Nothobranchius furzeri: one gene and its partners. Each later gene encodes a partner of the first gene's protein in a complex. Links are inferred from orthologs where the notes say so. Each region holds a gene or a part of one and is shown in the gene's direction. Other genes may lie near its edges.

Region 1 (4,249 bases):
GCGCTGGAACATATTCCAGCTTTTCAGAGCAAATGACACAGTCTTTTGGAGAAAATACTGAGTAGCAATTTCTCATGAGGGCAGACCCTCTACAGTAGCAACAAAGTATATAGCTATGGCATGGAAATCTCTCCATAGACCCAATGTGAAGAACTGGATGAAACAGATGTTACAGGTAATGCCGCTGGAATGGATTACTTATATCTTAAAAGCCAAGCAACACTTATTTGACAAAATATGGACACCTTTTCTAACATATATTAAGAAGATGGACATAAAAATCTGAGGACTTATAAAGTGGGAGAGTATAGGAAAATACTCGGTCTTCTGACCAGCATTAAGACTGGAATGGGAGAAGCAAAAGCGAGGTGTAATTCGGGGACTTCTTGCTCACAGTTTTGTTAAACATGTCTATGTGCATATTGCCTTCAGTACTATATATGCTCTTACGTTGGAGAGGATCGCCAAAAGCCGAAGCACAACCAAAATTGTTATATTGTTCTACTGTTCTGTTGTTCCCTGATGATTTTATACAGAATGTACTTTCAATATACAACATAATACTGTGTAAAAGGTGTACACAGAAAATTTAATAAAATATACTTTTTGAAAAAAAAATGTAGTCAAAGATCCATCAGATTGATATTTCATATTTCTATGGAATCTCACATTTTATGGTTCATAAGTAAGATGGAAACGACTCATTCTTTACAAGTGCACAAATAACTCAGATTATAAACTTTACAACATTAACAAAATATAGCACCAAGGATCTGTGCAGGACAACCTGCCAAGAATGTGCATTGTTAGTTATAGACGTTATGGTGCATTTAATCTTTAACTGACACCTCTAATGGTTTATTACTCTTAACATTTAGTATAATGGGGCAATTTCAAAATTTACCACTTTGCAATGGCCATGTCCTCCCATTTGAAGATGTTTGTCTTTTTATGCAAAATTCACTCTTGAAGACAAATAATTTGATATAATTTTTATGAAAGCTATGGCTTTAGTAAGACTGCTGCAGCCTTTTACTGCGGTCAGGCCTATACAATTAACAGCATCACATAATATCTTCACCAATAAATAAATTATGAAGTATCAACAAAAAATTTTTTACTTATTGAGCTCATTTATTCTCATCACGTTCTAACTGATTAAAATATGGAGTGTGTTCATAATTATGTGTTATAAATTACTGTAAAAAAGCTTTTCTGATCAAAGTGACTTACCAATGAAACTTTAGCACTGTTTATATTTTCTGCTGGTTTCAAACTACTCCTTCGGAAGACTCTTGTTTGTTCTCATAATTAAGAAAATGATCTATTCAGACACTTTTAAGTTTAAACAGTGGTCTCAGTGTGGCCACAAAATAAAACGCGCGGAGAGAAAGTGCAGGTTTCGACGCTAGGGGGCAGTGTGCTGTGGTGAAGCCGCCGTTTGTAGTAGAATAAGAAAACGCAGAAGGCTAAAAGGAAATCCTTTCCCCAGGCTGGATTCGACCGCCAGAAGAAGAAGAAAGCTGGATTCGACCATTCGCCACAGCCTTAGGTTCGCCGCGTAAAACAAGCTATAAACCGTCATAATGGTGAGTATCTAACCTCTAGTTGTGGGTAGTTGAGAATGTATTCTTTAATAGGTCATCTTTGGTTCGGCTGACGGAAACCGTGTTAACATTTTTAATAAATTATACCGAAGTGAAAGCTTTAAGATGCTAAGCATGTAGCTAAAATAAACCGTAACATTTAGCTTTATTCAGGAGCCAGTAGACCTACCACAACTTCAGAAGTGTTGTTGTGTTATAAACGTGTTTAAATGACCTGATTTAATTCTGTAGTTTTATGGGTTCGGGGTGAATTACTCTATATTCTCATAAGAACAGCAAAAATTACCTTGTTCCTCACACTGGATGCCAAATGTATACGTTTGGGTGTAAAAACTAGATTTTAAAAAGTTAAAGAAGCATGCAAAATACAGTAAATTAATCAAAATATGAACTGCAAAGAAACTATGCAGAGTTGTTGCACACATTTGTGCAAGTAATGTCCCACATTAGCTGGAACGTGTATCAGTTAGTTAAAGGCGGATTATAATCCCAGTATCAGATAAAGGTACAAAGTAAACAGGTTAATAATCAGACTGAAATGTTAATGTACCAAGTAGAAATTAAGCGTCAGGAGCTCAGCTGTTCAGAAGTCTGGTGGCTGTGGGAAAGTGTGTGCCTCCTGTCTGAAGGTAAAACTGTTGATGTTGGTGGTGAAGAGCCTCTGATCGGGTGGTTGCTCTCCAGTAGACTCTGGATTCTTGGTTTCATGCGGTTTATTATGCGTCAGAAATAATGCTGTAAATGAGGTCTATTCTGTTAAATTAGATTTCAATCTGGTGTTTTATTTTCAGCTTCCCCTGTCACTCTTAAAGACCGCTCAGAATCATCCCATGGTGAGGCAAAACCTTGATTTTAAGTCTGATATTCTTTACAATATTGTATCCTTTAGGCTGTGTCATTAGTTATGTGAAGAAGCATCTGTTCTCTATGTAAATAATAACCTGCTTTAGTAAATTACAAGTGAAACTTAAAAAAAATACAGTATGGTGCAAAAGGTCGTTTATTTCAGTGATTGAACTAAAAAGTGAAACTAATGTATGAGATGGACTCATTACATGCAAAGCCAGATGTTTCGGCCTTTATCTGTTATATTTGTTATGATTTTGCCTTACAGCTTATCAAAACCCCACATTCAAAATATCAGACAACTAGAATATTGTGAAAAGGTTCATATTCTAGCCTCAAAGAGTCACACTCTAATTAGCTAATGATTAGAGCTAATTTTTTGTTCTTGACTTTAGTTTAGTTTGTCTGATCTGTTATTAGAACTTGCTCATTGTATGATTTTTAGCTTATAAAGCAGTGTGCTCTTTATTAGCTGGTGGAGCTGAAGAATGGAGAGACCTACAACGGTCACCTGGTCAGCTGTGACAACTGGATGAACATCAACCTGAGAGAAGTCATCTGCACATCCAGGGTGAAACATGCTTCTCCCTTTAATAAAATGTGACCTTTTGACAAAGGGAAAATACCAAAATATTTTAATTTGCTTAATGTGCTTTCATATTTGGTCTCTCATGAGACATTTGTATGTACAGTATATTTGCACAACTGTGTTGTGAAGGACAGCCTGCCTATGTGAACTGAGAAGTCTGCAGAATCCTGCACTGAAACTATCAGAACAGCTTCAGACAACAGCTGAGATACAATGATTGATTCATAGTGACTGTAAGAACAGACACAGTGCGCTAACTGGACCATCAGTGACTGTAATAATTTTTAAATTGTGCAGCTTTGTGGTGTTTTTGTACATGTAAACAAAAGAAAGATGGGTGATCACAACTAAACATGATCATTTGCCTATTATCCCCTCAGTCGGGTTTATTGTGCTAGACTTTAGGTAAATTAACATAAATGCAAAATAGAAGTGTTATTAATTGAGGAATTTAATTTAAACAGAAACTCTCACCATCTTTTTACAGGATGGAGATAAATTCTGGAGGATGCCTGAGTGCTACATCCGAGGAAGCACCATCAAATATCTGCGTATCCCAGATGAGATCATTGACATGGTGAGGGAGGAGGTGGTGTCGAAAGGACGAGGTCGCGGCGGCTCTCAGCAGAATAAACAACAGGGCAAAGGAAGAGGAGGGCCCGGCCGAGGTGAAGGATGCCGTTTGATCAGGTTGGTTTTGAACTCATGTAGAATTGATTTGTTGGACTGAACACAGCTGTTCCTGTAGGTGTGTTTGGTGGTCGTGGGAGAGGGATGTCTGGGCCTGGTCGAGGACAGCAGCAGCAGCAGGATAAGAAAGCAGGAAAACCACAGGGGATGAAAAACCAGCACTGACACACAATGATGCTTCGTTTGTTTTAAACACTTCCTGTTGAGGGACGTCTGCCTCAGTAACAATGACATCAACTCTGCTGTTTCTCTCTGTTGTGATGTTTACAACAACCGATTGTTGCCAGATAATACTTTAGTTTGATTTTTTTAAATCCTTTTTATTGGTGTAGAAAAGTCGAGGCCCAAATTTAGTTTAGTAGATATTTTAACTGGCTTTTTCCTCATTTCTGTAGTTTACTTCCAGCTTTGTTATCTGAAAGATTTTCTTTATAACCACAGCTGGTGAAGCAGTAGAGCGACAGCCAACAGGACTCACTTCCTGAATATTTCTGTTTAAACCTTTATAAGACGGCAT
Region 2 (4,028 bases), about 7.4 Mb from region 1:
TTGCAAACAGCCTCACCAAAATATCTTGACCTACTTGTGGTTTGCAACCCACCAACTGGTACACAGTCAGGGTTTATTAATAGTAGTCATGTGTGGGTCATGACCAAGCTAATTCAGTGTGCTGGCTTGTTCATGTCAATGACTGGAGCAAGCTCCATGCTGAGAGCCTTTATTGGTTATTGATTTTTTTCCCAATAACAATACTGAAACTCAAAAAATTAGAATATGGTGCAAAAGTTCACTTATTTCAATAATCCATCTTAGACTGAGAGACCATCTAAAGGCTCGGGAACCCTTTGCAGATGTTTTTGATTAATTAGCTGGTTAGAGTGCGACACTTTGAGTCTAGAGTATTGAACCTTCTCGCACGTTCTGTTTGTCTGAGATATTTAGTTTTAGATGTTTTCGTAAGCTGTAAGCCATAATCATCACACTTATAACAAATAAATGATGGAAATATCTGGTTTTGCATAGAATGAGTTTATCTCATGAATTTGTTTCACCTTTTAGGTTTTTATACTGAAATCAATAAACTTTTGAACCATGTTCAAATTTTTTGAGTTTCATCTGTATACATTTTATTTTAAAAAGGGTTTCATTGTGGGGCAGTTGGAAGCACTGGTGACTCACAGGAACAATGTCATAGGTTTAAACCTTGGCTACGGCCTTTCATTCTCTCCATGCATGTGTGGGTTTGCTCTGGGTACATGCTCCTCCAGCAGACCAAAAACATACAAGCTGATCGGCAACCCCAACTGTCTTTAGTTGTGAACTCAGTATTAGCATAGTTTTTAACACTGTTACATACTGTTTTGATTGTGAATTTAGCTAAATAATAAACGAAAAAGGCTGTTAGAGCGAGTTTCCCACTCGCTGATAACAAAAGTGTTATAGCGTTTTATTTAGAAAGAATTTACAGGCAGTTTTCTCTTCTCCATCTCCATCAACCAAAAGAAACAAAAATACAGATTATGATCCCCCCCCCCCCCCCCCCCCAGTTTCATTGCCATGAGACTAGAACGTTCCCTTCTAGCTTCTTAGAACCTGATTGTAGTTGCAGTTTATCCCCACTGGAGGGCGTAGATTTCTTCTGAGATTGTAGCCTGTAGCTATTAGCTAACGCACAATGCAGCTGAGAAAGATGAACGTTTTTCCCAGCCTGACAGCGTATTAAGACAATCACATGAGTGTGTATTTAACTCATTACGTTTTAGTAGAGATGGTAGTCCCGAGACTTTTACAAAAATCAATATTGTTTCATTTTACTTTTTATGGTCTACAGCTGGACCTCTCTGAACCCTCTGAACGCGTTATCTCATTGGATCACTATCATTTCCTAGGGTCTAAGATTTACTTCCGGGTCAGACAGTAAATATGGCGGTGAGTTCGTAATCCATGGCTTTCATTATATTGTGTTACTTTTTATCTTTTCACATCCACATTTGTATTGTTAAGATTTAGCTTTGTTTTCTGAACAAAAGTCGACTTGAACAACTTTTATTTTGCTGTGACGGTAGACGTTTTACTTAAATAACGTGGCTAGTAGTGAGCTAAGCTAAGGCTACGTTTTGTTTGTGATTAATTAGTGACTTAAGACAATGTAACCTGGCCTTTCTGCAGGATAAAGAAAAGAAAAAGAAGGAGAGCATCTTCGACTTGTCCAAGTATATCGACAAGACGATTCGGGTGAAGTTTCAAGGTGGACGAGAGGGTGGGTGGACCAAGCTGTTGCTAACCCTTTCATTTCGTGCAAGCAGTAAATGTCTAGATTTCCTTATGTGGAAGCCTAAAATTTGTGTTTTCTTCTCAGCAAGCGGCGTTTTGAAAGGATTTGATCCTCTGTTGAACCTGGTGCTGGACGGCACGATCGAATACATGCGTGGTAAGAAAACCAAAACTCAAATCCAGCCAGAAAACTGCTCCTCAGTCTGAGTCCATGTTTATATCGATGAAGGACTTTTCCTGAACACATTCCGAAGTTCCCCAACACACATAACTATAAAGTAATAATTCGCATTAATTTCGCCCCTACCGTCATCTTTAAAACGATCTACAGTTAGTGAAAATAAGCATGTTGATCAAAACATTATGTTCATGTTCAGAGCATGTTTAAGAGACATTTTTCTACTTCACTTTTTTGAGTTAATTTGTTTTTCAGTAAATTATCAGGAATACGTGTGTGTGTGCGTGCGTGCGTGCTAATCTTGTTTGACAATAAAAGCAACATAATTTTAGATTATCTTCAGTGGACGAACATTACATATAATTACATGTAGACAAAAACATGTTGCTGCTATGTTTAAAAGAAGAAAATTCACAGGCTCTAAATAATTCATTCTAAAACATCAAATAATCCGAGAGATTTTCTGGGCTTCAAATTGAAAAAAGGTTTCCAAATTTTCAAATCACGCCCTTGTATGTAAGATTAATTTTTCAGTTTCATAAAATTAAGAAAGTCTGTGTGTAAAAGCATCTGTGGAATTGTTTTCTTTTTGTACAAACAAACAGAAAACATTGTGTAGACACCTCTCTACTGGAACAGTGTGTTGTTTCCAGGTAAAGGTAAGTAGCTGGTTGTGTTTTTTGTGCTCTTACCCTGTAAGGTTACTCCACCTATCTCCTCTACCATCACTGTGGATTTGTTGAAAATGTGATGCTAGTTTGAACAAACACTGGAAAAATGCTCAAGTTTCTAATTCTCAGTTTAGTGTTTGGAGGGGAGGGTTGAGCTAATATTCAGAGGAGTCATGGAGGCCACTCGGGTGGAACAAAAACCAGAAACATGTGGGGGGAAATTAAATTGATTTAAAAATCCCCAAACAAAAGATGAGTGGCTTTTTTCAGTTTGAGGTTTGTTCTTTAGTGGTCGAAGCAGATTTTTAACAGTGATAACAAATCAAATGTTGTTGGTTTTTTATCGCTGTTACAAGTGGTCGTCTTGTGTGGACTTAACATCTTTGAAAAATACATCTGAACTGAAGATGGTCAAAACAAAAAAATCAAAGGTCTCACCATTCATGTTTTAGTTTTGAGTGCATTCCGGTAAAATGCTTGGTGGACACCCAGCTGCTTGACATTTCCAGTGTGAACGTTCTGTGGCTTTGTGTGCAGATCCAGACGACCAGCTGAAGCTGACAGAAGACACCCGACAGCTGGGGCTGGTGGTCTGCAGAGGAACCTCTGTGGTGCTGATCTGTCCTCAGGATGGCATGGAGGCCATTCCTAACCCATTCATCCAGCAGCAAGATGGATAACCCCCATGCTGCTGCGTGGCACACTTTTGATTAGACTTTTCTTTTTTAACATTACAGGACACTTGTCATTCAGACGACAAACATGTTTTAAGTTCATCACTGGTAAAATAAGGCTCCGTTGCACTTCAGTTTTATTTCCCTGCTAATTTTGCTCATTTTTGTGTTGTGAGGAGCTCCCAGTTCTGAAAGTGTTAAAACAAATTTCTTGTTATCTGAGTGAACTTTTTACTATTCTTTGTTTTTGATAAGAAAATAAAGTGGAAAAAAAGCTGAATCTGAATGTTTTTCTCCTTTGAACACAGAGGACGTGTTGGAAAGTTACACCAGATATGGTCTATTCGAAAGGGTGACAAGGATCTGAGTGGTTTTGTTGACCCGACAGACGTCCCCTACCTGCTGGTTGTGACTGACTCGATGGGTCTACAGACTACTGAACTCTGCAGTAAAAAAAAAGATGAGTGTGTTTAGGTTTAAAGGGAGTTTCTGTGTTTGAAGATAAACCGTTCAAGCTTGTCTGCACACTCACAAAGACACATATGTGGCATTAACAGCTTTTAAGTCAGTAATGCATTAAGCTGGGGTGGGGGTGTAAAGTAATGATATCTATGGATTGTTCCTTTTGAAAGAAAGGATCTTCAGTAGATTTTGGCGTTGGAGAAACGCAGAAACAAAATGCTGATGAGTTTTAAGTGAGATAACTGAAGCTGTTTTTTAAAATGGCAAAATTTTTACTTAACTGGATGTGAAACCTCCTAAAAGTAGGTTAGAATAGTG
Region 3 (4,107 bases), on another chromosome or scaffold:
TAAAGACTCACAAGGACATAAAACACACTGATGGGAGGAAATGCAGTTTGAATTAAGCTTCATATTTAAATCTGTCCTTGTACATGTGAACCACCTAGCATCTAATCCATCTGACGGTCAATTTTCTTCCCTAACATCCTCTCCCACGGGTAAAATAACACCATCCCTTCAGGCGATGTAAATGAAGAAAGATGTAGAGGCTGGATCCCAGGCTAGGAGTGAAGACGGCTGAAGTTAATGCGATTGAAACTAATTGATGAATGGTTTCACATCATCTCATGAGATAGATCCCAAAAATGTCATGTTAGCATGTAATTACTTATTGCACTCTGGCATCTCTGTTTGAGTGTAGGTTTCTGAACCTGAAATGTCAGATGAGTTATTGATGTAGCATGTTGGCATGTGTCTAATGGGAATTAATGGAAATCATCACAAATGCATGGCTCATTTGACCTAAAACTATGTACATTACAAGCAATATAATATATGTGCAGTCAGACAGGCAAGGAGTGAAAATATTGTATTCAATTTTCAAACAGCATAAAAAATGATGTATTTCTTTCAATTTGGCAACCTAATTATCTGTGGGATCAAATGTCATCTGAGTCATCCTTGTCTTAATTAGGGCTGCAGGTCCATTAGTTGTTTCTGTAAACAATGTCTAGGTAATAATTTTTTACTAAACAAACTAGAGAGGAAATGACAACAGTATGTATGAGTATTTATCTTACTCTACCCTACCTCCACTTCAAACTCTAACCCAGGACTGCCAACGTAGGAGTGAGACAGCTTTTCTTTTTTTTTTTTTTTTTTTTTTTTTTAATGAACCAGATACTGATGAGGCATTCTGCATTAGGCCAGTCAAAAATGACCGTTCTCAGTTTTGCACAACTTGAGGTGGTTCATTTAGGATGGATGAAGATACTATGATTTATCTAGTTTTTCTTTTTATATCTTAAAATTGAGTATAAATAAATATCACGTGTGTGTGTGTGTGTGTGTGTGTGTGTGTGTGTGTGTGTGTGTGTGTGTTTATGTTGTATATAAACATTGTATATATGCATGTATATAAGTATATATTTTTCCCTCATTGTACTATTTTAGACAATTGTGTTTTGGTGTTTAGAGTAGCATATCCTAAAAGATAAATACTATTTACTCAGTTTAACTTTATTCCATCTAATTGTATTTTTATTTTATTTTCTACAGTTTGGCGCACCCGTGTGGCAAACTTTAGCGGTCAATCAATCAGCCCGTCCTGTTGGGGGCGCTGTAACAGAAAACAAGAAAAAGGAAGGAGTCGAGAGCGGAAGTTAAACTGTTGTTCATCTGCTAGTGAGTGTGCACGTCGTTGCAGCAACGATGGCTACCTCTGGAGCAAAACAAACACCTAAACTTGTCTCCAAAACCAGCGCGGGGGGCACAGGGGCGAGTGGCGCGCCCCCTGTAATACCTCTTGCCTCTCCGCTTATGGGGAAAAAGAAGAAGCCGTTTCTGGGGATGCCCGCTCCGCTAGGTTACGTTCCTGGTCTCGGCAGAGGGTAAGCTAATTTGATGCTAAGTCGTTAGCTCCTCCAGTTGCGTGTTTGTTGACAACTTGAATTGTCCACCTTCTGCATGCAGTGTCAAATAAAACAACATTTTAAATACATTATAACAATGGTTTGTGCTGTTTGCAACAAAGGACAAATCTCCGATCTTAAGGGTTATGTTGCGGTTTCAGTGCCACAGGATTCACCACCCGGTCCGACATCGGTCCTGCTCGGGATGCCAACGACCCCGTGGATGATCGGCATGCTCCCCCAGGGAAGAGGACGGTTGGTGACCAGATGAAGAAGAATCAGGATGATGATGACGAAGATCTAAACGACACCAACTATGACGAGGTCTCAATAACTAAATGCTTTTGTTGGCATTTAATACTTCAGTGCATCCAGTCAATAACTCCTGTTTGCTCCTTGTACAGTTTAATGGTTACGCTGGCAGCTTGTTCTCCAGTGGGCCTTATGAAAAGGACGATGAAGAAGCAGATGCTATATATGCGGCACTTGACAAGAGAATGGATGAACGGCGCAAAGAAAGAAGGTAAACTATAAAACTAATCTACCTCTTGACCAAAAAAGACCAAACACCTACAAAATAAGTGCACAGAGCATCCCTTTTTCATCCCTGTGTTGATTTAATGTGTTTCTGATACTGTCTGTGGTTGCTCGTAGGGAGCTGAGAGAAAAGGAAGAAATAGAAAAATATCGTATGGAGCGTCCTAAAATCCAACAGCAGTTCTCAGATCTGAAGGTAAGTTTTCCACATTTATTCTATTGTATTCACGATGCCATTATTTTTAGGTATCTATCTTTAATGCATTTTGTGCAGGTTAACAGCTGACTCTGCATACTGATTTGTTTGCATTCATGTTTTTGTGCTTTTAAACAAATTTGTGATCTTATTTGCCATTTGTGAAATGGTAATGCAAAGGCACATGAAATTACAATTATTAATCTCTCTTAGGATCAGACACGCATCTCTGTTTTATCATTTAATTACAGAGAAAACTAGCAGAGGTGTCGGAGGAGGAGTGGCTGAGCATCCCTGAAGTTGGAGATGCCAGGAACAAGCGACAGAGGAATCCTCGCTTTGAGAAGCTCACCCCGGTCCCTGACAGCTTCTTCTCTAAACACCTGCAGACCGGAGAAAACCACACATCTGTTGATCCGTTACAAGGGGTTAGTAGTCATGAAAACACACTACAAGCAGGTCACCGAACATTTGTTGTAGTTTCACCTTGCCCCAGCAGGAGTCAGAATAACTGTTCAGAGATGTGCAGCCATGCATTATATTGTCAGTAAATATCTGCTTAAGAGCATCAACCTCATGTTTAAACTTGAAACTATTCATTTATCTACTTGATTTCATGCATGCAATGTTTAAATACTTTAACTGGAAACAGCAGTGTTTACTTAGACAGAGCTGGCTCCATGTTTAGTTCTGCAGAATATAAAGCATCTTTTACGTGTGTCAGTTATAGCTGTGAGAAAGGATTCAGCTTTCTTTAGCTGTTCACACACGCTGTAACACAATTCCTGCTTTCTGTCTTGGTAGCTGGGCGGTCTGAACACACCATACCCAGGCAGCATGACTCCTGGAACTGGAGACTTGGATATGAGGAAAATCGGTCAAGCCAGAAACACTCTCATGGATATGAGGCTCAGTCAGGTAGACCTATCTAAATCCTGAGCTTCTTTCACATTTATCAAGATTTTACCTGTTTTTATTGTTTTTCTCTCCACTAAGGTGTCTGATTCAGTCAGTGGACAGACAGTGGTGGATCCTAAGGGTTACCTGACAGATCTCAACTCCATGATCCCCACTTATGGAGGAGACATCAGGTATAGAAAAGTTGCCCATAGGAAAATTTCCTTTTGAAATAACTTCTTATGTGTGTTTGATGAATTACACCTAAATCTCACCCAGCGACATCAAGAAGGCTCGCCTGCTGTTGAAATCTGTGAGAGAGACTAATCCCCATCACCCGCCGGCCTGGATTGCTTCTGCCAGGCTTGAAGAGGTGACGGGCAAGCTGCAGGTCGCCAGGAACTTGATCATGAAGGGCACAGAGATGTGTCCTAAGGTAAAAGGGGTGTCTGCTTTGGTTCCATGCACAAAGGCTAGATGCTGATAACCTTCAATAACAAAATATCTCTCTCTTAACCAGAGTGAGGACGTGTGGCTAGAGGCAGCAAGGCTCCAACCTGGTGATACGGCTAAAGCTGTGGTTGCTCAGGCTGTTCGCCACCTCCCACAGTCTGTCCGCATCTACATCAGGGCTGCTGAGCTCGAAACAGACATCCGTGCTAAGAAGAGGGTCCTCAGAAAGGGTAAGGCTTTTAATTTTGCTTTCTCTGTCTGCAACTATCATCAGAAGCTTCTCACTGCTTTGTGGTTATAAACGGAGGTTCACGTTCCTTCCCAGCAGCTCGTGTGTGAATGAGTTTGATTCTGCTGCGAAAAGGACGACACTCATTTCTCCAGGGCTGAAATTCAAAGCCAGTCTCAATCTGTTGATTGTCTCATGAAATCACCCTCACAAAGCTATCGGAGTTACACTTG
Region 4 (3,984 bases), on another chromosome or scaffold:
AAATTGTTGTTCTTCACGTTATCAAACTTAGACTTTGTACAGCTAATGTCAAGATGTAAAATTATGAATTCAGTCGAGCTCTTCCGTCACTCCCTCTCCTGCTCTCCTGGAAACCCGACATCGGCTGTTAGAAGCGGAGGTGAAGAAGGAGATGAGGCAAACAGAGTGAGTGCGACATAAAGAAACCAGACTGGTGTGGAGGTGAGCAAAACAGCTGGAAAAGTGTGGGCGTTGAATCCCCCACGGGTGCGATGTCCATGCGAGCGACCTGTACCTGCTGCTGTCACCTGGTTGTGAGCAGCCCTCTGCTGTCTGAGGGTAGGCCCCGCCCACAACGCTGCGGCTACTGCGGTGTTTTCTTTACTGTGGGAAACGGGTAATAATGGCTCTTTGATGGGAACAGGTTGCTGACCCCTGAGCTGGTAAAACAAAAATCCTCATCAGCAGGCTTTTTTGAAAGTGGGGGGGACACAGCTGCCAATCACAAATTTTGCCGGGGACATGTCCCCGGCGTCCCCGGTTAAACTGACGCCTATGTTTATTTTACGTAAAACTTCACACGGTCCCAGTTCAATTCAGTAACTTTATTTATTAATTCCCAATTCACAACAAAGTAAACATTCCAATTGAACCTAATAATTAGTGCAATTAATTTAGTTTACCACTGAGACTTGTTAAAAGTTTCCTATCAAAGGAAACCCAGCAGTAATTGTGACTTTGACACAATCATTTCCCCACGGAGGGACAATAAGGACATTTTCTATTCTATTCTAAAATATTTTGATTTTGTCATCATATAGTTCTTGGTTTCATTAAAATTCATCTGAAAGACCAATCAGTGGTACATCAATGACACATCTTTTATTCAGAGGAAGACTTCTTTTTGTCCCCCTTTCTCTATTTTTTGTTTGTTGACTTTGTACAGTTTAGAGCCTGTACTTTTTACTTTTTACTAAATAAAGACGGTCACTAAATACTTTTACTTTTACCAGAGCATTTTTATACAAAAATGTGTACTTGTACTTCATTAGAGAACGTCAGAACTTTTGCCATCTGGGTTTCGTGAGATTTAGCCATCGACATGTAAAAATATCGAATAACATCCAAATTGAATGATTTACACCAAGCCTCTAGAGGGCGCTGTTTACCTTTTGTGTCTGTTTCATTCCCTTTGACACCGGAAGAGGAAATTTCTGCCCACTTGTTGTGCGCTCGTGCTAGCCGTGCTTTTGTTACGTATGAAAAACGCTACTTTCTGTTTGTGAGTAAAAGTGGTTTAATGTTTGAAATTAGAACACGCTACTAATGTTCACAGCGTTTTAACAAAAGTACAGAGTGACGTCAGCTCTGTGAACTTCACTAGTGCGCGTGCTGGTTCACAGAGAGCGGTGAACCCCGGAGGAAAAGTGGCACCATGGCGGATGTTACTGCTCGTAACCTGCAGTATGAGTACAAAGCGGTAAGTATGTTGGGTGTAAATATAATAACTCGGGGTTATTAAACGTTTCTGTGACTAGTGATTTCTAATTATGATGTTTAGTGGATCGTGTTGCCGGAGCCGAAGCAGCTCAGCCCGCTGAACTGATGGGTCTCATTTAATTGTGTGTTTGTAGAACTCAAACTTGGTGCTGCAAGTCGATCGTTCTCTGATCGACCGCACTCGGAGAGATGAATCCACCGGGGAGGTGGTGTCCCTGGTGGGGAAAATGGAGGGGACGAAGATGGGTGACAAGGCTCAGAGGACCAAACCCCAGAAGCTCGAAGAGAGACGAGACAAGTCAGTGCAGCTAACACTGATGTTTTTAAAACCATTTACCTGTTAGAATCGAGGTACAGGTGGTGTTTTCGTGTGTATGATTCTTATACAATTTAAAACATTCTATAATTTACTTGAACGTTGAATAGATCACATTTAACATGAAATATACCTCAATTAGGACAGTAATAGAATTATTCAGATTTAAATGAAATGAAAAGAACCGTCTTTGACCTTCATCCTCCTTTAATTGTCATTAACAAACGTGTGAAGCATGTAATTGCACCATATACTTAAAAGGTGTAGTTTTGCTGTTTGAAGTGGGGTTTGATGTGGAACAGCTGCATATGTTTAATCTGTAGGAGACAGCAGATTGATTGCAGTTTAGAGGAAAAAAATCTGAACTATCCCGTTTTATCTCACAACAGGAGACGTAAAAGAGATGAGGACAGACATGATATCAACAAAATGAAAGGCTTTACCCTCCTGTCTGAGGGCATCGATGAGATGGTGGGCATTGTGTACAAGCCTAAAACCAAAGAAACCAGAGAGACGTACGAAGTGTTGCTGAGCTTCATTCATGCTGCGTTAGGAGACCAGGTTAGTGAACGTCACAACACTTAAGACTTTTGCACTGTTGATGGCGAACGCACAGCTGATGTGAACTCCAATTGTCTGCAGCCGCGTGATATTCTGTGTGGAGCAGCTGATGAGGTGTTAGCGGTGCTCAAGAACGACAAAATGAGGGACAAAGAAAGGCGTCGTGAAGTGGAACAGCTTCTTGGACCTTCTGATGACACGCGCTATCATGTGCTGGTCAATCTGGGAAAGAAGATCACAGACTATGGTGAAGACAAGGACCTGCAGAATATGGGTAAGCTACTTTAAAATATCTTAATAAAGTGTTTCGTTTATTTGGTGACCATGTTCTCTTTAAGCTGTTATCAAATCATCTAAATCTTTTGTTATTTATCTGCAGATGACAACATTGATGAGACGTACGGTGTCAATGTCCAGTTTGAGTCTGATGAAGAAGTACGTTTTAATTATTAATGTCTTAGTTGTATTTAAACTGATTAAAATGAAAAAGTGATTTTTTTTCCCCCCGTCTTGTTACTTATATAAAGGAAGGAGATGAAGACCAGTTTGGTGAAGTACGAGATGAGCACTCGGATGAAGACAGTGAAGGAGAGGAGGCTGTTGTGTCCACTAGGCTTACAACCAATGTAAGTACAGCCTTTTTGTTGGTTCAGGTGGTATTTCCACAGTTTTCTTCTCTCTGATTTAAAAATTGAATTCTGTTTTGTTGTAGCTTAGCGAAACGGGTGGCGTGATGACGGTGAAGAAAAAAGACCTGCACCCTCGAGACATTGACGCCTTTTGGCTCCAGCGTCAGCTCAGCCGCTTCTATGATGATGCTATTGTCTCGCAGAAGAAAGCCGACGAAGTCTTAGAAATCCTCAAGGTGGGATTTTCACTGTTTTTATTAGTCACGCAGCATAACGTAGCATCTTTTGACACCTGATGCCTTTCTTGTTCTACAGACCGCCAGCGACGACAGGGAATGTGAGAACCAGCTGGTGCTGCTTTTAGGCTTCAACACTTTTGATTTCATTAAAATCCTCCGTCAGCACCGTCGCATGAGTAAGTTGCGCTCGTTGAATTGCGCTGGGCTATGATGTTCTGTTGCACAACTTATTTGAAGTTGCTGGTTTTTATCTTGTCTGACTCACAGTTCAGTATTGTACCATGCTGGCGAGCGCTCAGAGCGAAGCAGAGAAGGAACGCATCATAGGAAAGATGGAGTCTGACCAAGAGCTGTCCAAGATCCTGTACCAGCTGCAAGAGACGGAGAAAGAGGACATTATTAGAGTAAGACATCTTGGTTTTGAACTGTTTGTCACCACTTTGCAAGAAATGATTTTCCATATTTTGTTTTTGTTATTCAGGAAGAGCGATCTCGCAGGGAGAGGGTGAGGAAGTCTCGTGTTGATGACTTGGAGTCAATGGACATTGGTCATGGAGAGGTAACTAGTGTGACATGGTCCAGGTAGCCGGGTAAAAGTGTGTGTGTGTTGAGAACATTTGTGTTTCTCATCCTACAGTCGGTAGTCCCTCGGCAGGTTCTGGACCTCGAAGACTTGACGTTCACTCAGGGTAGCCACTTCATGGCCAACAAACGTTGTCAGTTGCCCGATGGCTCTTTTCGTAAGCAGCGCAAAGGTTAT
Region 5 (4,229 bases), on another chromosome or scaffold:
AATGGCTAACAGAAGCAGCACGATGCTGTTACAAGCAAGCCGATTTGTCATTTATTACTTGGGCTCAATCCATCGTGGGGGGTTTCGTGCTAAAAGACATTTCAGCCATCCAGGTAACAATTTCTTCTATTCTTTCTTATCCTGGCATGATCTGACGATTCTTACTGAGGGAAACACGCAATTCACGTATCTATTATCCTAGGTGACATATTCAAAGGTTTTTTTAATACACAAAATAAAGAATAGTGGTAAACTCGTGTATAGATCTATTGAGAAACTCGCAACAAATGCAATTACAAATATTTTGAAAGATAATTAAAATATCTATTAAGAACTTGATGAAATAGCATTTGATTCAAACTTTATTTATTGAAATACAGCAAGGCAACAGCACTACCACTGTGCCAACATGCAGCCAAAGCATAACAGATTCAAGTAAAATTTAAAATGTAGTATGTATAAAAATGAGTGAAATTAACATGTGAACTGATATGATATCCATAATGTTACACCTACTCCTACCCTAGGATCCACCCATCCCTTCCTCTATTCCACTGCATCTCTTTGTGCACTTCCATCTATGTTGCACTCTGATTCATTTCTACACTATTTTCGCATACTCCTCTGTCGGAGCCTAGTGTTCTTTCCTCTAATCAGTTTATCGTTAGAATCAGATGCAAGTACTGTTACATCCTTGTTTATAGATCGTTTTGGACAAAAGCATCTGCCAAATACATTAGCACAATGCCCTTTTTGATATCTGGAGCTCAATACAGATAAATGCAAAAGCTGAAGTAGAAAAATGTAATTTGAAAAAATCCTTAATGCTGTTGTTGGTAGACAGAAACCATTGCTAGACATCTGACTTTTTCTCTTTGTCTGAGAAGAATTAATTTTGATGTATATCTGAAAGTGATAAACATCCCAGCCATTAAATGTTCAAATGACCGTTTGGAATCAAAAGCATTTTTAAATACTCTAAACCTGGGGGTTTCCAATTGAAATATCAATTACAGTATTAAAATGTGTTTTTACTGATCAGAATGCACTTCTAGATATTATTTCAGTTACGATAAGTAAGAAATACATTTTGATAATGGGAATTATTATAACTTTATCTAAAATTTTAAGTGAATGGAAATGTTTTGCTTCATTAAATGCTATCACGGCTTGCTAAATACAGCAGGTTGCAGGCTGCAACCTTTGCTAAGCTAACAAGCTAAAGTAAAGGAACTGCGCCAAAATAGAGGAGATAGTAAATCGCTGTGTTGCACTTCGTGTACTTTTTGTAAAGTATCAAACAATTTTCCTAAAACATTTAAAAGCGTTTGTTTGTCAGTTAATGTCCGGTTGTTAAAGCCCCAGCCAGCAGGGGGCGATATACAACCAGGGCGAGCAAAGTTTTTTCTACCACTTGACTTCCGGAAACGAATTCGTTGTCGTTGTATGTTCGTTTCGTCGAAGTAGCAAACTTAAAACGTGGTTGTTAGTATTTATGCTGGTGCGAGGTGCTACAAATAAACAAACCAACGAAACTCCACGTATTTTCCACCGATGCTGGATATCGAAAATATGATGCAGTTTTCCCCGAAATGAGTGAGTTTTGACGTGGCTAACCCTTTAGCTTTTGAAGCTAACTCGACCTAGTTGGGAGAAAAGTTCGCGACATTTACCACATCAATACAGCTGAAGAGACTGCGTACGCAGCTTGACTGTGACGGAACTACGACTCTGGAGTTGTAAACAGCGGACGAAATCATGGGTTCTTCAAAGAAACACAAGGAAAAGAGTCGCGATAAGGACGCAGAAGAGCGCCGTCGTGAACATAAGAAGCATCGGCACAAAGAACGAGAGAGAGACAGAGATGCCTCAGATCGGGATGGAACTCGAGAAAAACGAAAACGCTCCAGGTCCAGGGAAAGGAGCAGACGGGATAGTCGCAGCAAAGGGGAAAAAAGCAGTGGCGAGACTCGTATAAAGAGGGAGAAATTGGATCCTGGCTATGAGGAAGGCAGTGCAGAAATACAGCCTCAGAGTGCAAGTGGAGATGCTTCCCTCAGCGTCGAGGAAACGAACAAACTCCGAGCCAAGCTGGGTTTAAAGCCTCTGGAACTCAATGAGAACAAGAAAGAACTTGGAACCAAAGAGGAGCCACTGGTGGCTGAGACCATCAACCCTGTTCTCATCCAGCAGCAGAAAGAGATGAGGGAGAAGCTTGCAGCTATGAAAGAAAAACGTCTCCTCAATCAGAAACTGGGCAAAGTCAAAAACCTTGCAGATGATGATTGGCTCGATGACACAGCCGCTTGGATTGAAAGAAGCAGAAAGCTGGCACAAGAGAAAGAAATGGCAGAGAAAAGAGCCAAACTTCTGGAAGAGATGGATGAGGAGTTTGGTGTCAGCAATCTGGTTGAAGAGGAGTTTGCTCAAAGTAAATTGGATTCTTATTCTTCACGGGATCTCAAAGGCCTCAAAGTGCAGCACAAGGTTGATTCCTTCAAGGAGGGCCACACTGTCATTCTGACCCTGCAAGACAAAGGTGTCCTGGAAGAAGAGGAGGATGTGCTTGTGAACGTGGGACTGGTGGACAAGGAAAAAGCAGAAAAGAATGTGGAGTTGAAAAAGAAAAAGCCTGACTACAAGCCCTACGAAGAAGAGGAGAGTGTGGATGACATGGTCACCTTTAAGCCCCGCACTGTACTTTCAAAATACGATGAAGAAATTGAAGGTGAAAAGAAAAAGAGCTTTCGTTTGAGCACATGGGGATTTGCTGATGGGGAGCGAGAACGGGAGCTGCAGGCTATGAAAGAAACGCTGCAAAACCAGGCCCAGTCTTTGGAAATGCCTGCTCTTGCTATCGCTTCGGAGTATTACACGCCTCAGGAAATGGTTGGCTTTAAAAAGACAAAACGCCGTGTGAAGAAAATCAGGAAGAAGGAGAAGCAGACAATTGCAGATGAGCTCCTTGATGACACTCGCAGCTCTGACTTTGGCTCCCGAGCACGAGGTCGGGGCCGCAAACAGGACAACGAAGAGGAGAATACAGGCAAGGGCGAGCGTTGGCCACATGAAATCCCCCAAATGTCTGATGACATCAGGACGGCAGAAATGGAAATGAGTGATGAAGAAAACTTCACGCCTCCTGAGCCAGCTGTAATTGAGGAGGATGAGGCAGAGCAGGAGCTGCAGAAACAACTGGAGAAACAGAGGAAGCTGAGGCAGAAGCAGCTTCTCAAAGACTCCGGGGAGAAGGTGGCAGAGCAGATCAGACGGTTTGTTAAAGGCGGTGACGAAAATGATCCTGACAAGAGGAATAACATTGTCTTCAATGCCACCTCTGAGTTCTGCAGAACTCTGGGTGATATTCCAACGTATGGACTGTCTGGAAACAGGGAAGACCAGGAGGATATCATGGACTTTGAACAGGAAGAAGAGAAAGATGATGCTGGAGATTCAGACTCCGAAATGGATGAAAATATTGGGTGGAGCACAGTTAACCTGGATGAGGAGCAAAATCATGCTGAATTTTCCACAGCCTCTGCCACTATCCTGGATGAGGAACCCATCGTGAACTCTGGCCTTGCTGCTGCTTTACTGCTGTGCAAAAATAAAGGGCTGCTGGACACGCAAATGCAAAAGGTGGCTCGTGTCAAAGCAACAAAGGGGTCCCTGCCTAATGACAACTACTGCATCGAGGACAAGATGGGCTTTGATGATAAGTACAGTCGCCGGGAAGAATACAGAGGCTTCACGCAGGATTTCAAGGAAAAGGATGGATATAAACCCGACGTCAAAATTGAGTATGTGGATGAGTCTGGGCGCAGACTCACCCCAAAAGAGGCATTCAGGCAGCTTTCGCATCGTTTCCACGGCAAAGGTTCTGGAAAGATGAAAACTGAAAGGAGGATGAAAAAGCTGGAGGAGGAAGCGCTGCTGAAGAAGATGAGCAGCAGCGATACACCTCTGGGGACGGTGGCTTTGCTTCAAGAGAAACAGAAATCTCAGAAAACGCCGTACATCGTCCTCAGTGGCAGTGGGAAGAGCATGAATGCAAACACCATCACTAAATAAATATGTAGGGGAAAATGATTATTGTTGTAGCTCTTTTGAGATTATTGCTAGTTTATGGTCTTGCTTCAGTGTTGATATAACAATAGTATAAGAAAATCAGTACAGGTGTAAACTATTTCATTTGTCTTGTGAATTTCCTAAAAGAACAATAATTTAAA
Region 6 (3,638 bases), on another chromosome or scaffold:
AGCAGCAAGGCACCAAGTTCATGTTAGCACGTTTACACACACCTGAGCTCTGAGTGTGTTACTCAGGTAAAAAGCATCCAGATCTGGTTTTGTGGGAGAAAAGTGGTTTGCCTGCAGGCTGAGCTAAAGGGAGGTGTGGCTGCTGTGATGTCACAAGAAAGCCTCTTTTTTATGTTTGTATGAATAAAATATTTGTTCTGAAAATATGCACTACTTTAGGACTTGGGTTTAATCATGCCACCAAATAAAAGGAAGTTTTGCTTCAGAGTCAGTTAGAAAATACCAAAATGCAAGTTACTGAAAGGAAAATAACGAATTTCACATTTTTGAGAGGAACTGAGATATTTCTGATGCAGTTTTTAAAGCTTGTAGCATCTTTGATTATTGTTGTTTCTTCCTATTCTGCCCATCACCGTTACTGAACATTAGATAATCAATTAGTATGGAGATCCAACCGGATGTGGGATCAGGTGAGCAGCTGCTGGAAACAACTGGAAAATTATCTGAGGTGGCAGCCAGAAGAGATGTTATATAACTCCGCACAAACAGCTAGAAATCAAAGACGGTTAAAATTAATATTTCCATCTGCATCAAATCCATCTCACCTGCAGTGAGCTGGACCATAACCCTCCATTCTAATGTTTTAGTAGGAATGCACCTTTATACCAGAGCTAGCCACAGTTAGCATGAAGCAGGTTCGTACCTGACAGCCTTTTTTATGGTGAAATCCAACAACCACGATGTGTAGCACCGGCCCCTTCCCTTCAGTTTCGCTGCCGTGAGACTCCATTTTCCCTCAGTCTTCTGTTCTGGAGGTCCGGTGGCGTTTGTGAACTCAGGGGGTTCGGATGTAAACACAGCGAACGGAGCCTAGTTTGAGCCCCGAATCTTTCCCACGCACACACACTCACGCGCGCGCGCACACACACACACACAGCGCTGCAGCTAGATTTCAACAAGATGTTTCCCTGTTCCTCACTTCCGTGTTTGCGTTACCGATTCTGTCAGATCCATCGGGGTCAGAGCACGGATTAGCTGTTAGCATTAGCTTTTAAATGAAAAACTGGTTCAAGTCGCATTTACACAATTTATAACAACCTGTTTCCAATGAATCTACTGACATATTTTCTTGCGAATATCTGATTTTGATCAAATCCTAAAATCAGTCAAGCATAACTTAACCAGAAACAGGAAGTAAACAAATAAACTCTCCATGCTGCAAAATCCATACTTAAGTCTTATACTCAAATATTTTTGCCTCTAAAGTGATTGTTGTTTTGGATGTTTTATTTATTATTTTTTGTGGGGGAATTTAAGTATATTTTTTTATCTATAGCATTCCAAAGTAAATCAGAGTTTGTCTATTCTTGCCTGAATTCGATTTGCTCTTGATTCGATTGGTTGTGACTGCTGCAGTCACACGAAGAAAGTCATGGCGGCTACTCAAGCGACAAACCCGTCACAATTGCTCCCTCTGGGTTCGTAAAATCTAATTTTGTTCCGTTCTTGCTTCAGATAGTTTCGCCTTTAGATACATTTCAATAAGAACCGAACAAGCAGTTCTAATTTAGTGAGTAGCAAACAGAAGTGAGCCGTTTTAGCGGTAAAATCACGCCGGTGTTACGTACAGATCTTTTCACCGAAGTAAACCGTGTCCCCGCTTCCTGACAAGATTTCTAGTCACAGGATTGTGTTCCTCCTGCTAAAATATATTATCTGTGGTGTACGGATTTAATTGTCAGTATGTGTAATTTGTGAAGTAAGCAGTTGCATGTATTTGATAAATTTAGGAACTCGTGGGGGTTATGCTTAGTTCAGCCATCTTTATTGCTTGCATTAATTTACTAATAAAAGTCAAATAAGGAACATTTTACCATTTAAAACATATTATAGCTTAAAGAAAAAGTTTTAAAGAAAACCCCCGGAGATTCTGGTTTAGATGGGGGACACATCTCGATGCAACACCAGCAGGTTTTAGCTAGCTGCAGATAAAGCAATAATTTCGTGTTCAAGCGTGAGTTTTTACCTAATTTATTTTAACAGAGGAGTATTTGTGGCAGTCTAAAAACTAAAAGAAGTGATTGTGTCCTATTTTACAGCAGTTATGACCTGAAAAAGTCAAACCAGCTCGGGTGCCTTAATGAGGATGGCGTGCTGATTGTACACCTGTCCGTGTCTGAACATGAGCAAAAGCTGAGCTGCAGCAGTCATAATAATACTCCTGAACTTATTGTGTTATTTAAATTCAAAGTAGTCACACCCGTGAACAACTTTCGTTGACAACTGACAAGAAAATTCATTTCGTCCATCGACATATATTCAGTTAGATTTAGTCATATTCTTCTGCCACCTACTGGCCAATTAGTGTATGTGCAGTACAAACCTCAACAGTATTTCCCTTAAGAAAAAATGATTTTTAGTAGTTGGTCCTGATTGGTTTTAGATGCTAAACATCACATTAGTTATTTAGAAAATTGTTAAAATCAAACTGAAAACTGTAGAAAATAACCTAACCTGTTATATTTTCAGAGCTTGTGGACAAATGTATCGGCTCTCGAATTCACATCGTCATGAAAACCGACAAAGAAATCGTCGGCACCCTGCTGGGGTTCGATGACTTTGTCAGTATCCTTCCTTAAAAGCTGCTGATCAGCTGTAGTGCGTGATTCAGAGGTGACATGTTCAGATTTGGTCCTCAACTGTGTGTTTCAGACATGGTGCTGGAGGATGTGACAGAATTGTAAGTGTACGTTGTTTTATTAACCGGTGTCTGCCTCATTCATCCTGCTCATCTCCTGGTGTTTCTTCCAGCGAGATCACACCAGAAGGACGGAGAATAACCAAACTGGATCAGATCCTCCTCAATGGAAACAACATCACCATGGTAGGACACAAACGGCTTCGGTCTCTCTCAAACATCACTCAGCTGGATGATTCATGTCGGGTTCATTTCTCCTGCAGCTCATTCCTGGAGGAGAAGGACCAGAAGTGTAAATCCTGTTTTGTGTCTTTTGTTTATTCTCTCCAGGTTTTTGGAGCATATTTTTGTAACATTCTTTGTTCAGTTTTTAGTAAAAGAAGCAGGTCTCACGTGGGAATTAAGATGTCTTTGTTGCAAATAAATCTGTTTGAAAAACATCCTTGTTTCATTTATTTATCATAAAAAGTAAATTTAGTGCAAACATTGGGACAAAATGAAGTGTTACCATCAGAAACCAGTGATAAAATCCAGCATCCAGTCTTTGTTGGACTGTAAAGCTAAATGAGAAGTTTCACTTTTGACTCATGAACAAAAAACGTGGAACCGATCTAGAGCTGAAACAACTAATCGACTTAATCGATTATAATCGATTATTAAAATAGTTAACAACTTTTTTAGTCATCGATTAGTTGTTTAATAATCATATTTTACCGCATAAAGTCTATTTTTTACCACAATCAGACATCGGTTACAAGCTGTTAAATTTGCCGCCAGTGTGTGGCAGTAATGAGCCACTGATCTACCAGTGGAGCCGTAGAAGAAGAAATGAGCCAATGGGTGCCCTCGGTTTTCATGACGTATCACGTTACTGACGCTCATCTTGCTGTGAGAGATGGCGGAACAAGAGGAAATACGGAAGAAAAATAGAAGCGACAAA
Region 7 (4,248 bases), on another chromosome or scaffold:
TCTGCTGAACTTCAGATCACTGAGCCAGAAGGGCATGGAGCTTGCAGAGCAGCCCACCAGTTTCCATGCTCCTGTCCTGTCACCAGACAATGAGTCATACATAAGGGTTTGGATAAAAATAAATAAATAAATAAATCATGTGTCCCAAACTGCACCTGCACACATTTTCTAATGAATGGTTAAAAGCAATAAATCAGTGGAGAAAAACAAGTGATTCTGAAATGCACTGCCAAGTTCTTGCAACTTCGACATCTCATGGGGCTTAAAGGAGATGTACAGTTGGATGTCATCTGCATAAGATGGTTGGAGATTTCTTTGAAGGAGCTCAGGATGTGCTGAAGAGGGAGCAGATAGAGGAGGAAGAGTAGAGCGCCCAGCACAGAACCTTGTGGGACACCATGGGCGAGGGAGGTGGTGGAGGACCCAAACTTGGAGACGGCCACAGAGAAGCACCTAACCCTAACCCTAACCCTCAGACAGATAAGAGGAGAACCACTTCAGAGCAGATCCTGATATGCCTACCCAGTCTCTCAGCAAAGCTGCTGACACACAACCTTCTCCAGAAGTTTCAAATTGAAAAGGAGAATAGAGATTGGCCTGTAATTGTCTGCACAGAGACATCAGATTCTGGTTTCTTCAGGATCGGTTTACTGACTGCAGCTTTTAATGCAGTTGGAACCACTCCAGTGCTCAGGCTGCCGTTAATGATCAGACGCAGAGACTGACCCAAACACGGAAAGGCCTCCTTCCACAGACGAGGTGGCAAAACATCGAGTGGAGAGCTAGACGACTTCTGCCCTGAGACAAGCTTAGACAACTCAGAATAAGAGAGTATTAAAATAGCTCAGGGTGGACTGTATTGGAGTAACTGGATCAGGGTCTGTAGATGAACCAAAAATAGCAGCTCTAATGGCAGAGACTTTGCTAGTGAAAAAGTTGTGAAAGTCATCACATTCTCCAGCAGCAGTAGAAAAAATGATGCCAGAGTCCTGGTACACTGAGACAGAGTTAAGCGTTTTATGGAGAATTTTTGAATTGTTACAGTTTGTATCAATGATGTCAGCAAAATAGCCCGTTCTAGCGACCCTCACAGCATCAAGATCAAGATACTCTAAACATCTAATGGGAGACCTGTAGGTCTATGCCCGTTTATGTGCAGCCTACAGTTACAACAACCGGCGTACAATTTGAAAACAGATCAAGCGGGATTACTAGTAACTTTACAAGCCTACCTCATGGAATTCTATATTTAAATATATTTTAATTTATTTTGTTAAATTATATTTATATTTTAATTATCATGCCATATATTGTATCAGCTTTTGTGAAAAAGCTTGATAAAATGCGTTTTTTAGTTGGCTAAGCACCTTCCTAAGTAGAAATTAATGCAGTGGGGGCGAATGGAGACCCAACTAAGATGGCGGTCGGCCACTACGGCAGCCGTCCACGGGGCGTCTACGTATATATGACTGCGACCTCAGAGCCCATTGAGGCACTAGGCCAGTTAAAGCATCATGGCGGATGAAGTGGAGCAGGTTCGTTTGGTTGCCGTGTTTATACACTTTTGTTCGTTTTAGCGTCTGTGCAGTTGCTTGACTTCGTCGCGCATTATTAACTTTATGCATTTCTTTAATCTAAGGATACAAGCGTAGCATTTTGCTAATTGCTAACACGGTTTAATTGTGTTTAGGCCTGTGAAACCGGTTAGCCCACATTCACCTAGCGTTCAGCTCATCCTAAAATTATCAGTAAGCGCGTAAAAGTTACCAGATTCTCACAAATGAAAGATTAATGAATGACTTTTCCCGTTATGTTTGTCTAGCAAATTGGACAAATAATTAATATTGAGTTTTCTTTAACTATTGTGTTTAGTTATTAACTTTAGTAAGTAACGAGTCTCAACAAACTGTTTGGATCAAAGTTTATGATTTAAAATGAATATTTCTAAGCTGTAATGTGCAATTTAATTGAAAATAAAGATATTAGTGACAAAGATACCATAGTGTTAATAAGTCATGAGACGTTTAATTGGTTTGATCAGTACTTCTGCACACTCTCTTTACATTTCCTATCAGATGGTTTGTTTTCTAAGCCCTGGTCTTTAAAGGCAAGCCTTAACAAAGCTGTACAGACACAACAAAAATGAATAAATAACAATATAAAGACTCAGCTAAACAATGTTTGGATATTAGTGATGCATCGATATAAATTTTTGGACCGATACTGATATCCGATATTAAGATCACTGTTATGGCCGATAACCGATATTTGCCGATACCGATATACACTGACATTAATGCTTCCAAAATCTGCAGATTTTATATAGAATGAAAATTATTAAAGCTGGATTTACATTATTGTGTACACACAACACACACATTTACGCTTCTGAGGTGATTACAATCACTGTCACATGATTAAACAAATACACATCACCCCCCTCACCCTCTGAAACTGATAAACAAATGGAGACGAGATAGAAAAATTAATATCGGCCCGGTTTTATTTATGGGACCAATACCGATATGTTTAAAAATGACTAACATCGGCCGATACCGATATTGATGCCGATATATTGTCCATCCCTATTGGATATTTTTAATCTAGATTTTTAAAAACATTTCCGGTGAGTGTAAAAAAACCGACTAGTTTTGTTTTTAAATGTTTGCTATTTGATGAATATGCCAATAAAAAATGGAATCCGTACATTGATGATTATTTTAATGTGTTCCACAGCAACCACCTACCAACACGGTGGAGGAGCCTCTCGATTTGATCAGGCTCAGTCTGGATGAGCGGATCTACGTGAAGATGAGGAATGACCGGGAGCTCCGCGGTCGACTACATGTACGACACACACACACACACACACACACACACACGGTTCAGAAGATCCAGTTTTTTCACAATACTTGCTGATAAAACAGGTAAAAAAAATAAGACTGAAAATTCTAATGTCAGTAAAACAACTTAAAAGGTGAAACTAATCTATGAGACAGACTCATTCCACGCAAACCCAGATATTTCAGCCTTTATTTGTGATGATTATGGCATTCAGCTGATGAAAACCCCACATTCATAATCTCAGACAATTAGAATATTGTGTTCAGGTAAATATTCTAGTGTCAGACTTTTATCAGCTGATGAATCCAGAACACCTGCAGAGGGTTCCTGAGCCTGTAGATGGTCTCTCCATCTGAGCTTGATTACTGTCATAAATGGACTTTTGCACCATATTCTCTTTTGTCCAGTTTCACCTGTATGTCCTAACTAATGTTTGCCATCTGGTCCAGGCGTATGACCAACACTTAAATATGATCCTGGGGGATGTGGAGGAGACGGTGACAACAGTGGAGATTGATGAGGAGACGTATGAAGAACTTTATAAGGTCAGTTTTTATGAACAAACATAGAAAAACCTCTCTAGCCACATTTCTACTGAACAGCTTTTGTTTTGGACTCTTTGCTGTGTTTGCTTAGTGGCAAACTTGTGCCACTGTTGGGTGATGCTTAAAGATCCATCAGATGCAGAAACGTTAAACGATGTTAACTTGTCACTTTAACATAACGCTGAATAGATCTGCAGAAAGTAATAAAACAGAATTTTAAGATTCTACGAGGTTTCATTATTGTTCATGATCAGAAACTCAAGTTTTATTTAAATTTGACGGTACTTTAGTGAGTATTTAAATAAAATATCTGTTATTTAAATGTTTTTACTGTATTTGTTTCTTTAGTCTACCAAGAGGAACATCCCCATGTTGTTTGTCAGAGGAGACGGCGTTGTCCTCGTAGCTCCGCCTCTCCGAGTCGGCTAAGCCCCCCATGCCTGACAGGATGATGTAACTGCTTCTGGGAAGTGTCCATTTTTGTAGGAGAGTGTTATAAATCTTCATTTTCCTTATGCTAGACTGTTATTTCATCTTTAAATTTCATGTGAATCAGAGGCTCTTCTCTAGGGCAAAATGTCTGAGGGGGGAAAAACCCAGGAAGTATGATGTGAGGACACTTTTTTTTATTTTTTGACACATTCTGGGATTGTAAGAATCGGCCTCAGTAGATACTATTATTTTTAGTAGAAAAACATTTTTCTGAATCTTATCAGTTCCGATTGAGTCATTCCAGTGTTTATAAAGACTCGGGTCCCCTTGTGAGCGAAATGTTTGTTAAATTGCTCAACTTTTATGTTGATTTTTAGCTAAATGATTGCATTTGAGTCCCAGAACATTCTTTTTCTTTTACATGACG

Evidence for each region.
Region 2: lsm4 (region 1) and lsm7 share a complex: the UniProt entries of both Homo sapiens proteins name them as parts of the precatalytic spliceosome. The link is inferred for Nothobranchius furzeri from reciprocal best matches to the Homo sapiens genes LSM4 and LSM7.
Region 3: lsm4 (region 1) and prpf6 share a complex: the UniProt entries of both Homo sapiens proteins name them as parts of the U4/U6-U5 tri-snRNP complex. The link is inferred for Nothobranchius furzeri from reciprocal best matches to the Homo sapiens genes LSM4 and PRPF6.
Region 4: lsm4 (region 1) and snrnp200 share a complex: the UniProt entries of both Homo sapiens proteins name them as parts of the U4/U6-U5 tri-snRNP complex. The link is inferred for Nothobranchius furzeri from reciprocal best matches to the Homo sapiens genes LSM4 and SNRNP200.
Region 5: lsm4 (region 1) and sart1 share a complex: the UniProt entries of both Homo sapiens proteins name them as parts of the U4/U6-U5 tri-snRNP complex. The link is inferred for Nothobranchius furzeri from reciprocal best matches to the Homo sapiens genes LSM4 and SART1.
Region 6: lsm4 (region 1) and lsm5 share a complex: the UniProt entries of both Homo sapiens proteins name them as parts of the precatalytic spliceosome. The link is inferred for Nothobranchius furzeri from reciprocal best matches to the Homo sapiens genes LSM4 and LSM5.
Region 7: lsm4 (region 1) and lsm3 share a complex: the UniProt entries of both Homo sapiens proteins name them as parts of the precatalytic spliceosome. The link is inferred for Nothobranchius furzeri from reciprocal best matches to the Homo sapiens genes LSM4 and LSM3.

The regions. Positions count from the first base shown.
Region 1 is NC_091748.1:65,762,208-65,766,456, reverse strand, and holds the start of lsm4 (U6 snRNA-associated Sm-like protein LSm4), read left to right. Parts: upstream 1-1,449; 5' UTR 1,450-1,586; coding exon 1,587-1,589; intron 1,590-2,398; coding exon 2,399-2,440; intron 2,441-2,925; coding exon 2,926-3,024; intron 3,025-3,529; coding exon 3,530-3,710; intron 3,711-3,790; coding exon 3,791-3,897; 3' UTR 3,898-4,249. UniProt on the Homo sapiens protein: Plays a role in pre-mRNA splicing as component of the U4/U6-U5 tri-snRNP complex that is involved in spliceosome assembly, and as component of the precatalytic spliceosome (spliceosome B complex).
Region 2 is NC_091748.1:58,320,411-58,324,438, reverse strand, and holds lsm7 (U6 snRNA-associated Sm-like protein LSm7), read left to right. Parts: upstream 1-1,270; 5' UTR 1,271-1,374; coding exon 1,375-1,380; intron 1,381-1,620; coding exon 1,621-1,711; intron 1,712-1,810; coding exon 1,811-1,882; intron 1,883-3,111; coding exon 3,112-3,254; 3' UTR 3,255-3,528; downstream 3,529-4,028. UniProt on the Homo sapiens protein: Plays a role in pre-mRNA splicing as component of the U4/U6-U5 tri-snRNP complex that is involved in spliceosome assembly, and as component of the precatalytic spliceosome (spliceosome B complex).
Region 3 is NC_091755.1:59,889,708-59,893,814, forward strand, and holds the start of prpf6 (pre-mRNA-processing factor 6), read left to right. Parts: upstream 1-1,307; 5' UTR 1,308-1,362; coding exon 1,363-1,541; intron 1,542-1,723; coding exon 1,724-1,886; intron 1,887-1,966; coding exon 1,967-2,085; intron 2,086-2,216; coding exon 2,217-2,295; intron 2,296-2,546; coding exon 2,547-2,723; intron 2,724-3,099; coding exon 3,100-3,213; intron 3,214-3,291; coding exon 3,292-3,386; intron 3,387-3,471; coding exon 3,472-3,628; intron 3,629-3,712; coding exon 3,713-3,875; intron 3,876-4,107. UniProt on the Homo sapiens protein: Involved in pre-mRNA splicing as component of the U4/U6-U5 tri-snRNP complex, one of the building blocks of the spliceosome.
Region 4 is NC_091757.1:37,093,686-37,097,669, forward strand, and holds the start of snrnp200 (U5 small nuclear ribonucleoprotein 200 kDa helicase), read left to right. Parts: upstream 1-1,184; 5' UTR 1,185-1,414; coding exon 1,415-1,459; intron 1,460-1,613; coding exon 1,614-1,777; intron 1,778-2,184; coding exon 2,185-2,356; intron 2,357-2,437; coding exon 2,438-2,630; intron 2,631-2,735; coding exon 2,736-2,791; intron 2,792-2,883; coding exon 2,884-2,982; intron 2,983-3,068; coding exon 3,069-3,221; intron 3,222-3,300; coding exon 3,301-3,400; intron 3,401-3,491; coding exon 3,492-3,628; intron 3,629-3,705; coding exon 3,706-3,783; intron 3,784-3,861; coding exon 3,862-3,984. UniProt on the Homo sapiens protein: Catalyzes the ATP-dependent unwinding of U4/U6 RNA duplices, an essential step in the assembly of a catalytically active spliceosome. Plays a role in pre-mRNA splicing as a core component of precatalytic, catalytic and postcatalytic spliceosomal complexes.
Region 5 is NC_091744.1:19,554,474-19,558,702, forward strand, and holds the start of sart1 (U4/U6.U5 tri-snRNP-associated protein 1), read left to right. Parts: upstream 1-1,429; 5' UTR 1,430-1,758; coding exon 1,759-4,071; 3' UTR 4,072-4,229. UniProt on the Homo sapiens protein: Plays a role in mRNA splicing as a component of the U4/U6-U5 tri-snRNP, one of the building blocks of the spliceosome. May also bind to DNA.
Region 6 is NC_091747.1:62,679,562-62,683,199, forward strand, and holds lsm5 (U6 snRNA-associated Sm-like protein LSm5), read left to right. Parts: upstream 1-1,354; 5' UTR 1,355-1,432; coding exon 1,433-1,478; intron 1,479-2,529; coding exon 2,530-2,625; intron 2,626-2,712; coding exon 2,713-2,740; intron 2,741-2,811; coding exon 2,812-2,884; intron 2,885-2,961; coding exon 2,962-2,994; 3' UTR 2,995-3,138; downstream 3,139-3,638. Other genes in the region: late secretory pathway protein AVL9 homolog, read right to left, coding at 704-790. UniProt on the Homo sapiens protein: Plays a role in pre-mRNA splicing as component of the U4/U6-U5 tri-snRNP complex that is involved in spliceosome assembly, and as component of the precatalytic spliceosome (spliceosome B complex).
Region 7 is NC_091743.1:73,197,565-73,201,812, reverse strand, and holds the start of lsm3 (U6 snRNA-associated Sm-like protein LSm3), read left to right. Parts: upstream 1-1,448; 5' UTR 1,449-1,514; coding exon 1,515-1,535; intron 1,536-2,736; coding exon 2,737-2,847; intron 2,848-3,293; coding exon 3,294-3,389; intron 3,390-3,737; coding exon 3,738-3,818; 3' UTR 3,819-4,248. UniProt on the Homo sapiens protein: Plays a role in pre-mRNA splicing as component of the U4/U6-U5 tri-snRNP complex that is involved in spliceosome assembly, and as component of the precatalytic spliceosome (spliceosome B complex).